Linked DNA regions of Macaca mulatta. The protein of the gene in region 2 binds, or shares a complex with, the protein of the main gene of each other region. Links are inferred from orthologs where the notes say so. Each region holds a gene or a part of one and is shown on either strand. Other genes may lie near its edges.

Region 1 (4,779 bases), on a different chromosome or scaffold from region 2:
TCCTTACTTTTTGACACCTCAAGATGCTCTAGACTCATCCTGTGTGTTTCCTACCCTGTCCTAGAATCAGCTAGTAGTCCAGGGAGCCCTGGTTCCTTTTATTGGAAAATTGTATTAGAAACCAAGATCTGGGTGCTAAGTGTGCTCATTGCTGCTGGGATATCATTTCTCTTAAGTTTTCTTTTCATCTGGTGATTTTATTCCCCCATCCTAGCTGCCTCTGACTGGTTCCTCAGGATTGACAATAAGAGACAGAGTGAAAATTCAGTAGAAGGAGAAACTTTGGATTCATCAGTGTTCATCACAGTGGAATATACTGTCTTGGGGGAGAATGGATACCATCTCTTTAGGAAATGTCACCAAAAGCTGAATAACAATTCACAAAGTAGGGTCAGGGGTGGTGACTCACACCTGTAATCCCAGCACTTTGGGAAGCCCAAGCAGGTGGATCACTTGTGTCCAGGAGTTCGAGACCAGCCTGGGTGACATGGCGAAACCCCGTTTCTACAAAAAATACAAAAATTAGCCAGGCTTGGTGGCACATGCCTGTAGTTCCAGCTACTCAGGAGGCTGAGGCAGGAGGATCACTTGAACCTTGAAGGTGTAGGTTACAGCGAGCCAAGATTGCACCACTGCATTCCAGCCGGGGCAACAGAGTGAGACTCTGTCTCAAAAAAAAAAAAAAAAAAAAAAAGACACACATACACCAAACAACAACAAAACAATTTACAGAGTGAAGTCCTGCACTGGGAGGGATTTAGACTAGATGACCTCTAAGGGTCCTCCGAATTCTAAGATTCTGTGCTTCCAAGTGGTGTTTAAAAAGATCAATCTGGCCTCTCGTGGTGGCTCATGCCTGTAATCCCAGCAATTTGGGAGGCCGAGACATTTGGATCACTTGACATAATGAAATTCCATCTCTTAAAAACAAACAAATAAACAAACAAAAAAACAAAACAAAGAGCCAGGTATGGTGGCACACACCTGTAGCTCCAGCTACTTGGGAGGCTAAGGCAGGAGGATCACCTGAGCCCAGGAGGTTGAGGCTACAGTGAGCCATGATCACACCACTGCACTCCAGCCTGGGTGACATAAAGAGACCTTGTCTAAAATAAAATATAAAATAAAATAAAATAAAATTTGATTGTAATGTCTCTTTTCCCCTGGTTGACAATGAAATTGATGACTCATCCCTGTGCTCCCACAGTGTCTGACACTATCTTTTTCATGGTAGATGATTAATAAATGTTTCGCTGAATGCATTTCTTTGGATTGAATTGGGGCCTGGTCAGGTTTGGAAGGCCAGAGATAGAAAGAATTCAAAGGTTATACATATAAATGCAGTTAGTGACTGGGCATAGTGGCTCATGCCTGTAATCCCAGCACTTTGGGAGGCTGAGGCAGGAGGATCACTTGAGCCCAGGGGTTCGAGGCTAGAGTGAGCTGTGATTGCACCATTGCACTCAAGCCTGGGTGACAGAGTATCTCTAAAAATAAAAATAAATAAATGCAGATAGGAATAAACATCAAATTGTCTTAGGGATGTAGAGTTTTGTCCGAGGGTCTAAGCACTTTCTCCTTTGTGCTAAACTATATTGTAATTATCTGACCTGTTTGGGGGACCATGTCTCATTCATGTTTATGTTTCCAGAAATTCTCTCTCTGACACTGTGCCTTCTCAGTCAAAATTTGTTGAATGACATTGACTTTTTATGTCCCAGCGATAAAAGATTGAATGTCTTGTACCTCCTTGGCTTCCTGTCCATTCTACTACATTTCTTTTTCTCTTTGTTTTTGTCTTTATCAGGTTTTTTCACTGGATCTCTGAACACCCAGGCCCCCTCCACCATGGCCAGCCGGGGTGGGGGCCGGGGTCGTGGCCGGGGCCAGTTGACCTTCAACATGGAGGCCGTGGGCATTGGGAAAGGGGATACTTTGCCCCCACCCACCCTGCAGCCTTCTCCACTCTTCCCTGTGAGTCTCTCCACTTCCTTCCCAGACTCTCATGTGCCCCTGGCTGACTGTACATGATTCTGAATTCCTCCTGGACCATCATAAAACCATCCTCACTGGCCCTCTCTGTCTCTATACTCCCAATGCACAAGGGATGTTTTGCAGTCAAAGAAGTGTCCACCTTTATTTCTCCCCAGCTTTCAAAATGATATGTTACTCTCCCCATTCTCTTTCAGCCCTCTGCTCAGGGGAATATTAGATTAAATTGGGAGGAGGGGTCTTCCTAAATTTGTACTAGCATTTTCTCCCTGAACAGACCACTGCCCCTGCCTCTTTAGCCTTTGGAGTTCCGCCCAGTACCTTTGCCTTCAGGAGAGGAAGGGGAATATGTCCTGGCACTGAAGCAGGAGCTACGAGGAGCCATGAGGCAGCTCCCCTACTTCATCCGGCCAGCTGTCCCCAAGAGAGGTCAGTTGGAATGCTAGCATCATATTCTGAGTGCCTTCCGTGGGGAGTGCCCTGTGCTCAGCACCACTGGGGGCTGGAGAGGCACAGGAAGCATACTGTCTAACTGGGGAGATCATAATAGTTACTCCTGCATCTGAAATGCATTATAGTATTCATGGTTTGTTTTGAGTCTCATGATAGTTTTGGGACAGCGGGAGGTTAAATATTAAAATCCCATTTCTTGTGTGTAGGTGGGGGGATGTATTTTCTAAAAATTTATATATTTTTTATTTTTTTGTAAAATAGAGATGGGGTGTTCTTATGTTGCCCAGGCTGGTCTTGAACTTCTGGGCTCAAGAGATTCTTCCGCCTTGGCCTCCCAAAGTGCTGGGATTACAGGCATGAGCCACCGTGCCCAGCAAAAATTTTAACAATCTGGATATTAAAAGCACCAACCAACAACAGAATACTGAAATCGGCCGGGCGCGGTGGCTCACGCCTGTAATCCCAGCACTTTGGGAGGCCGAGGCGGGCGGATCACAAGGTCAGGAGATCGAGACCACGGTGAAACCCCGTCTCTACTAAAAATACAAAAAATTAGCCGGGCGCGGTGGCGGGCGCCTGTAGTCCCAGCTACTCAGGAGGCTGAGGCAGGAGAATGGCGTAAACCCAGGAGGCGGAGCTTGCAGTGAGCCGAGATCGCGCCACTGCACTCCAGCCTGGGCGACAGAGCGAGACTCCGTCTCAAAAAACAAAAAACAAACAAACAAACAAAAAAACAGAATACTGAAATCCTGGTTTCTTTTTTTTCTTTTTTTTTTTTTTTTTTGAGACGGAGTCTCGCTGTGTCTCCCAGGCTGGAGTGCAGTGGCGCGATCTCGGCTCACTGCAAGCTCCGCCCCCTGGGTTCACGCCATTCTCCCGACTCAGCCTCCCAAGTAGCTGGGACTACAGGCGCCCGCTACCACGCCCGGCTAATTTTTTTGTATTTTTAGTAGAGACGGGGTTTCACCGTGTTAGCCAGGATAGTCTCGATCTCCTGACCTCGTGATCCACCAGCCTCGGCCTCCCAAAGTGCTGGGATTACAGGCTTGAGCCACCGCGCCCGGCCGAAATCCTGGTTTCTTATTCCCTAGCATACTTTCCACTGCATCACACTATTTCTTAATACAGCCATGCCTTTGAACTAAGGGACAGAAAAAAAAAAAAAAAGTCATCATGGCCGGGTGCGGTGGCTCACGCCTGTAATGGCCAGCACTTTGGAAGGCTGACATGGGTGGATCACTTGAGGCCAGGAGTTTGAGGCCAGCCTAACCAGTATGGAGAAACCCTGTCTCTACTAAAAATATAAAAATTAGCCAGGCACAGTGGTGTGAGCCTGTGGTCTCAGCTACTCAGGAGGCTGAGGCACGAGAATTGCTTGAACCTGGGAGGTGGAGGTTGCAGTGAGCTGAGATCTCGCCACTGTACTCTAGCCTGGATGACACAACAAGGCTCTGCCTCAAAAAAAAACAAAAACAAAAACAAAACAAAACAAAAAAACACTGGCCAGGTGTGGTGGCTCACACCTATAATCCCAGCACTTTGGGAGGCTGAGGTGGGCAGCTCACGAGGTCAGGAGTTCGAGACCATCTTGGCCAACATAGTGAAATCCTGTCTGTACAAAAAAAAAAAATACAAAAAATTAGCCAGGCCTGGTGGCAGGTGCCTGTAATCCCAGCTACTTGGGAAGCTGAGGCAAGGAGAATTGCTTGAATCTGGGAAGTGGAGGTTGAAGTGGACCGAGATTGCGCCACCGCACTCCAACCCTGGGCGACAGTGTGAGACTCCATCTGAAAAAAAAAAAAAAAAAATCATAATTTTAGGTGGAAAAGAAACAGGTTAGAAGAGTGATAAGGGGCCGGGCGCCGTGGCTCACGCCTGTAATCCCAGCACTTTGGGAGGGCGAGTTGGGTGGATCACGAGGTCAGGAGATTGAGACCATCCTGGCCAACATGGTGAAACCCTGTCTCTACTAAAAATACAAAAATTAGCTGGGCGTGGTGATGTGCGCCTGTAGTCCCAGCTACTCAGGAGGCTGAAGCAGGAGAATCACTTGAACCTGGGAGGTGGAGGTTGCAGTAAGCTGAGATTGCACCACTGCACTCCAGCCTGAGCGACAGAGCAGGACTCTGTCTCAAAAAAAAAAAAAAAGAAAAAAAAAAAGAGATAAGGTCCTCACTGAAGCTGACCCCCTGGGCTCTGAGTTTGGGGTAAGGAAACAGATAATTCCTGAGTATTGAGAGGGCTGGACTCTCAGGAACAGTCCTGTTCTGGGTCTCAAGGGATAAAACTTTGACTCTTCCACCCCTCAGATGTGGAGCGTTATTCAGACAAATA
Region 2 (3,986 bases):
TCCTCTTTGTTCATTCTTTTTCTTCCCTTCTCTCCTGTATTCTTTTTCATTTAGAACTTTTGTAATTGTTTATTTCTTTTTATGGAATATACCTGTTTATCCATTTTATAAGCTCCTTGGATGTGAACACTGGGCGTTATCTTACATTACCTCTCCCCAGCAGGCCTGGAACATGGTAGAACCGAATAAAGAATTGTTGATTGTGAAGTTAACCAGTGGAAACTAAATCCCTTAAATGGGATAATATAAATCCAAAAAGTCTAAATTATTTAGATTAAGATATACTCTGAGTATATTTTTCCTTCTTCGTAGGACTTTAAAACTTTAAATATTAGTGAGAAAAGTTGCTTTTACAAGTTGTTAAGCCACCATGAGAGTATTGCTTTTGAAATTTTGAACCTGAAGAGTTTCTTCATTTTAATTAGTGATGTTAATGTATTTATCTCTATTTTCATTACTACCTTATTATTTCACATAATAGAATGTTGTATTTTGTTTTCTTCAATATCAATGCAGGTACTATAGGATACAACCAGCGAAACAGAATTGATACTCTCATGTATCTACTAGCATATCCACAAAAACCCATGGTTAAGACAAAAACCATTGAATTGATAGAATTTGAGAAACTGCCAGCTGGACAGAATGCAACAGTTGCTGTGATGAGCTATAGTGGCTATGATATTGAAGATGCCCTTGTTTTAAACAAGGCCTCTTTAGACAGAGGTAAGTGAATTTTCAAAACTAATGCCAAAGGTGCTTTTTGCAGAGTTAGATATAGGGATGATTAATGTAGAGATCACTTGGTTAATGTCATTTCAAGTTATTTGAATTTTATGATATAGAAACAGGAGATGGTTGGGTTTTGATGTTGGCTTTCTTGTCATTTTTAATGAATAGTATATGGAGATAATTTGTTAAACATACTACTACAGAATATTTTTCTTCTCTGTTATTGTATTGGTTACGTGAGACAGTCCTTCAAAGAGAAAAAAAACGTAAGAATGTGTTTTACAGCAGGAATTACAATATATGAAATATGTGTTTTCACTGTATCTAGTGATATATATTATTAACAAACCTGTTTGAGAGGGCAGTAGCAATATCTGGATGTAAAAAGCTGTTTCTTATTTGCGTAACCTCATAATTTGGTACCTTCTTTGGCCAAGTGACGAAAGTTAAAAATATACGGCCGCAAACTCTGGCGTGGAGTTTTTCTGCTTTTCTTTCTGTTTTTGACAATTACTTTCGCAAGTCACCACTTCGTGATTTGTTAGACATCACCTGATCTGAAGTCTGACTTCTCTATTCATAATCTCGATTTCTCTTTTTCCTTTCTGGCATACCCACTATGCCTTCCCCTTCCCTCTTTGTAGTTGCTAGGCAGCCATAATAGTACTCCTAGACATGTGTCTTTGGCATTAATGTTGGCCACACTTAATTTATGCCTCTTTTTTTCCTCCAAATGACAACAGCCATGCTTTAAAACTAGATGTTTTCCTTTCTGATTAACTGGTAACATTTATGTGGAAATCTGAAGACTTTGTGATGTCTGTCAGAAACTCTGCAACCCAATTTAATGATCTGAGTTTACTGTCCGCTAGCTCTTAAGCTATCACCTGTGAATAAAATGTCTCTTTACACTTTGAAGAAAACAGTTCTTGATTTCATGCAGTTAAGATTCACATTGCACTCCAGCATGTTGCAGTTAATGGCTACTGTATGAAATTTCAAGATCATGAAATGTTTCCAAACCAGCTGGCATTCTGAGCCCAGTTTATTATGGCCATACACAATTTCCTAGGAGCCATGATGACTACGGCCTTGCTTAAAGACACAAATGTCTTCATCTGACGTCCAGTTGTAGAAATTTGTTACTTCATCTCACAGTCACCTTCATATTTAAAAAATTACATTACAGCCCTGAGATTTTATTTATAAATCCACTTTTACCTGATTGATTTCTAAAGTCACATTCTTAGATTTCTGCTTTTGGTGGAAAATTGTTAAGTGAAGGATTTTACAGCCATGCATTTATTTCATCAGTAATAACTGGCATTGCATCCTGAGACATTTTCTTATTTAAGTGAACTCTGGCATGGCTCAATATATCCTGAGGAGATTAGTAAGAGAATCTAGTTTAAAATAACTGCTTGGCCAAAGGGAAAAAAGAAAGAAATGTAGCCACAGAATCTTAGGAAATTATAGTGTTGAAGGAATGACAGCTGTTTTGGGTAACTCTACAACTCATGGATTTTTTTCTTTTAGGGATTCAGTGGTTGAGTTTTTTTGCCCCACCCAAAGGTTTTTCTTCTGTCCTTTTTGCTTATTTTTCTTCCTTTTATTTTTCGGATCCATTGGTAGACAGCTTCTTTTTCTTAATGTTCAGATTGTTAGTTGACTTCACAGCTTTTCCCTCATCCACTAGATAAATGCAATCTAAAAATGTCATTAAACTCCAATCTTTAGGGCAGAGAACTATTTTTCCCATTGAAATAATTTGATTGTTCTTTTTTCATTCTGTCTCTTCTCTGGAGGAAAATTAGTGTTTTTACGTGCTGGCTTAGAACTTGCTCTAAATGCCAAATTTTAAAAAGAAAAACTTTCCAGGGAAGGTTAGCAGAAGTTGTGCACCAAAAGGATGTGTGTCCTGGCTCGGGAGTCAGTGGCCTTGTGCTGTTTAACACAATTCTCAACTCTGCTGCCAGCTTGCTAGATGACCTTGGCCACTTAATTTCTCTGGACCTCACTCCTAGTGCCTGTGAAAGGGATAGGTTAAGCAGGTGATTTCTAAGGCCCTTTCCAATTCTAATATTCTATGGCTCTGTCCTCTGAAAGAATCACAGTGCTAGTCTTTGATTTCTCTCACCCTTCTCCAGTTGTATTCCGTGCAGAAAATGGTTGTAGAGATTCCAGTGTTTACACAGACAGTAGGTAGGGGACAAGTCCTGTGCCACTTCTTCAGATTATCAGATTTTTATTTGGTTTGTACTGGTCCCAGATTATGATCAAATACAGAGAAGCTTTGGGATTTGGGGGAGAGTGAGGTGGAGTGGATTGCTGAGTAGCACAAATCCATGTTTTCTTATAGCTTTGGATTACTGGTGGTTCTAATGCCCATTTTGGTTTCATTTTAGGCTTTGGGCGTTGCCTTGTATATAAAAATGCTAAATGTACATTGAAACGATATACCAATCAGACTTTTGATAAAGTAATGGGGCCCATGTTGGATGCTGCTACAAGGAAACCTATCTGGCGACATGAAATCTTAGATGCAGATGGTATTTGTTCTCCAGGTAAAAGCCTTTTGAAAGAAATATTTTTAATATATACCTTTGAAATCATGTGTTATTCCATAATATTTCTGAATATTTGACAAAAAGGGCAGAAAAACGTAACAACCTATAAAACCACTATCCAGACTCAACCAGTGAGGTCATTTTTGATGAATTTCCTTCTAGTTTGTTTTTCTATACACTATGTTTTTACCTATCAGTAATCTATGCTAACTGTAATTTTCTAGTTATGATTTTGAATAATAGAAAAGCCACTTTAAGGAAATATTTAGAGTAGTTCGTGTCCCTGCATCTGCACTGGTATTCTTCATTTACGCATTTAGCTTACAGACTACTTTAGAATTTTATCCCCCTGCAAAGGTATGACTCCATTATAATTACAAACTTGTAATGCATTTTGTTGATGAAACAAATAGTCCTTGCCCTTATGGGTCTCACAGGCTGGTGCAGGAGACTGACATTGATCAGAGGATCATGCACAAACGCAGGTTAAGAAATCATATAGGTAGCTATGAGGCCATTTTATAGCAAGAGGATTTGACCTAGTTAGGAAGATCAGCATGGCCTTCCCCAAGGAAGTGAGCTGGAATCTGAAGGATAGGGAAGAGTTAACTAAAGAAGAAGGTCAGGGAGCGTGTTCTAAGTAGTAAGAAAAGCTTGTGCAAGGGTCCCGGAGCTTGGTAGTTGAAA

Evidence for each region.
Region 1: POLR3B (region 2) and POLR3GL share a complex: the UniProt entries of both Homo sapiens proteins name them as parts of the RNA polymerase III (Pol III) complex. The link is inferred for Macaca mulatta from reciprocal best matches to the Homo sapiens genes POLR3B and POLR3GL.

Annotation. Positions count from the first base shown.
Region 1 is NC_133406.1:119,326,700-119,331,478, reverse strand, and holds the start of POLR3GL (DNA-directed RNA polymerase III subunit RPC7-like), read left to right. Parts: upstream 1-1,804; 5' UTR 1,805-1,848; coding exon 1,849-1,974; intron 1,975-2,291; coding exon 2,292-2,421; intron 2,422-4,754; coding exon 4,755-4,779. UniProt on the Homo sapiens protein: DNA-dependent RNA polymerase catalyzes the transcription of DNA into RNA using the four ribonucleoside triphosphates as substrates. Specific peripheric component of RNA polymerase III which synthesizes small RNAs, such as 5S rRNA and tRNAs.
Region 2 is NC_133416.1:113,670,908-113,674,893, forward strand, and holds part of POLR3B (DNA-directed RNA polymerase III subunit RPC2), read left to right. Parts: intron 1-516; coding exon 517-726; intron 727-3,137; coding exon 3,138-3,296; intron 3,297-3,986. UniProt on the Homo sapiens protein: Catalytic core component of RNA polymerase III (Pol III), a DNA-dependent RNA polymerase which synthesizes small non-coding RNAs using the four ribonucleoside triphosphates as substrates.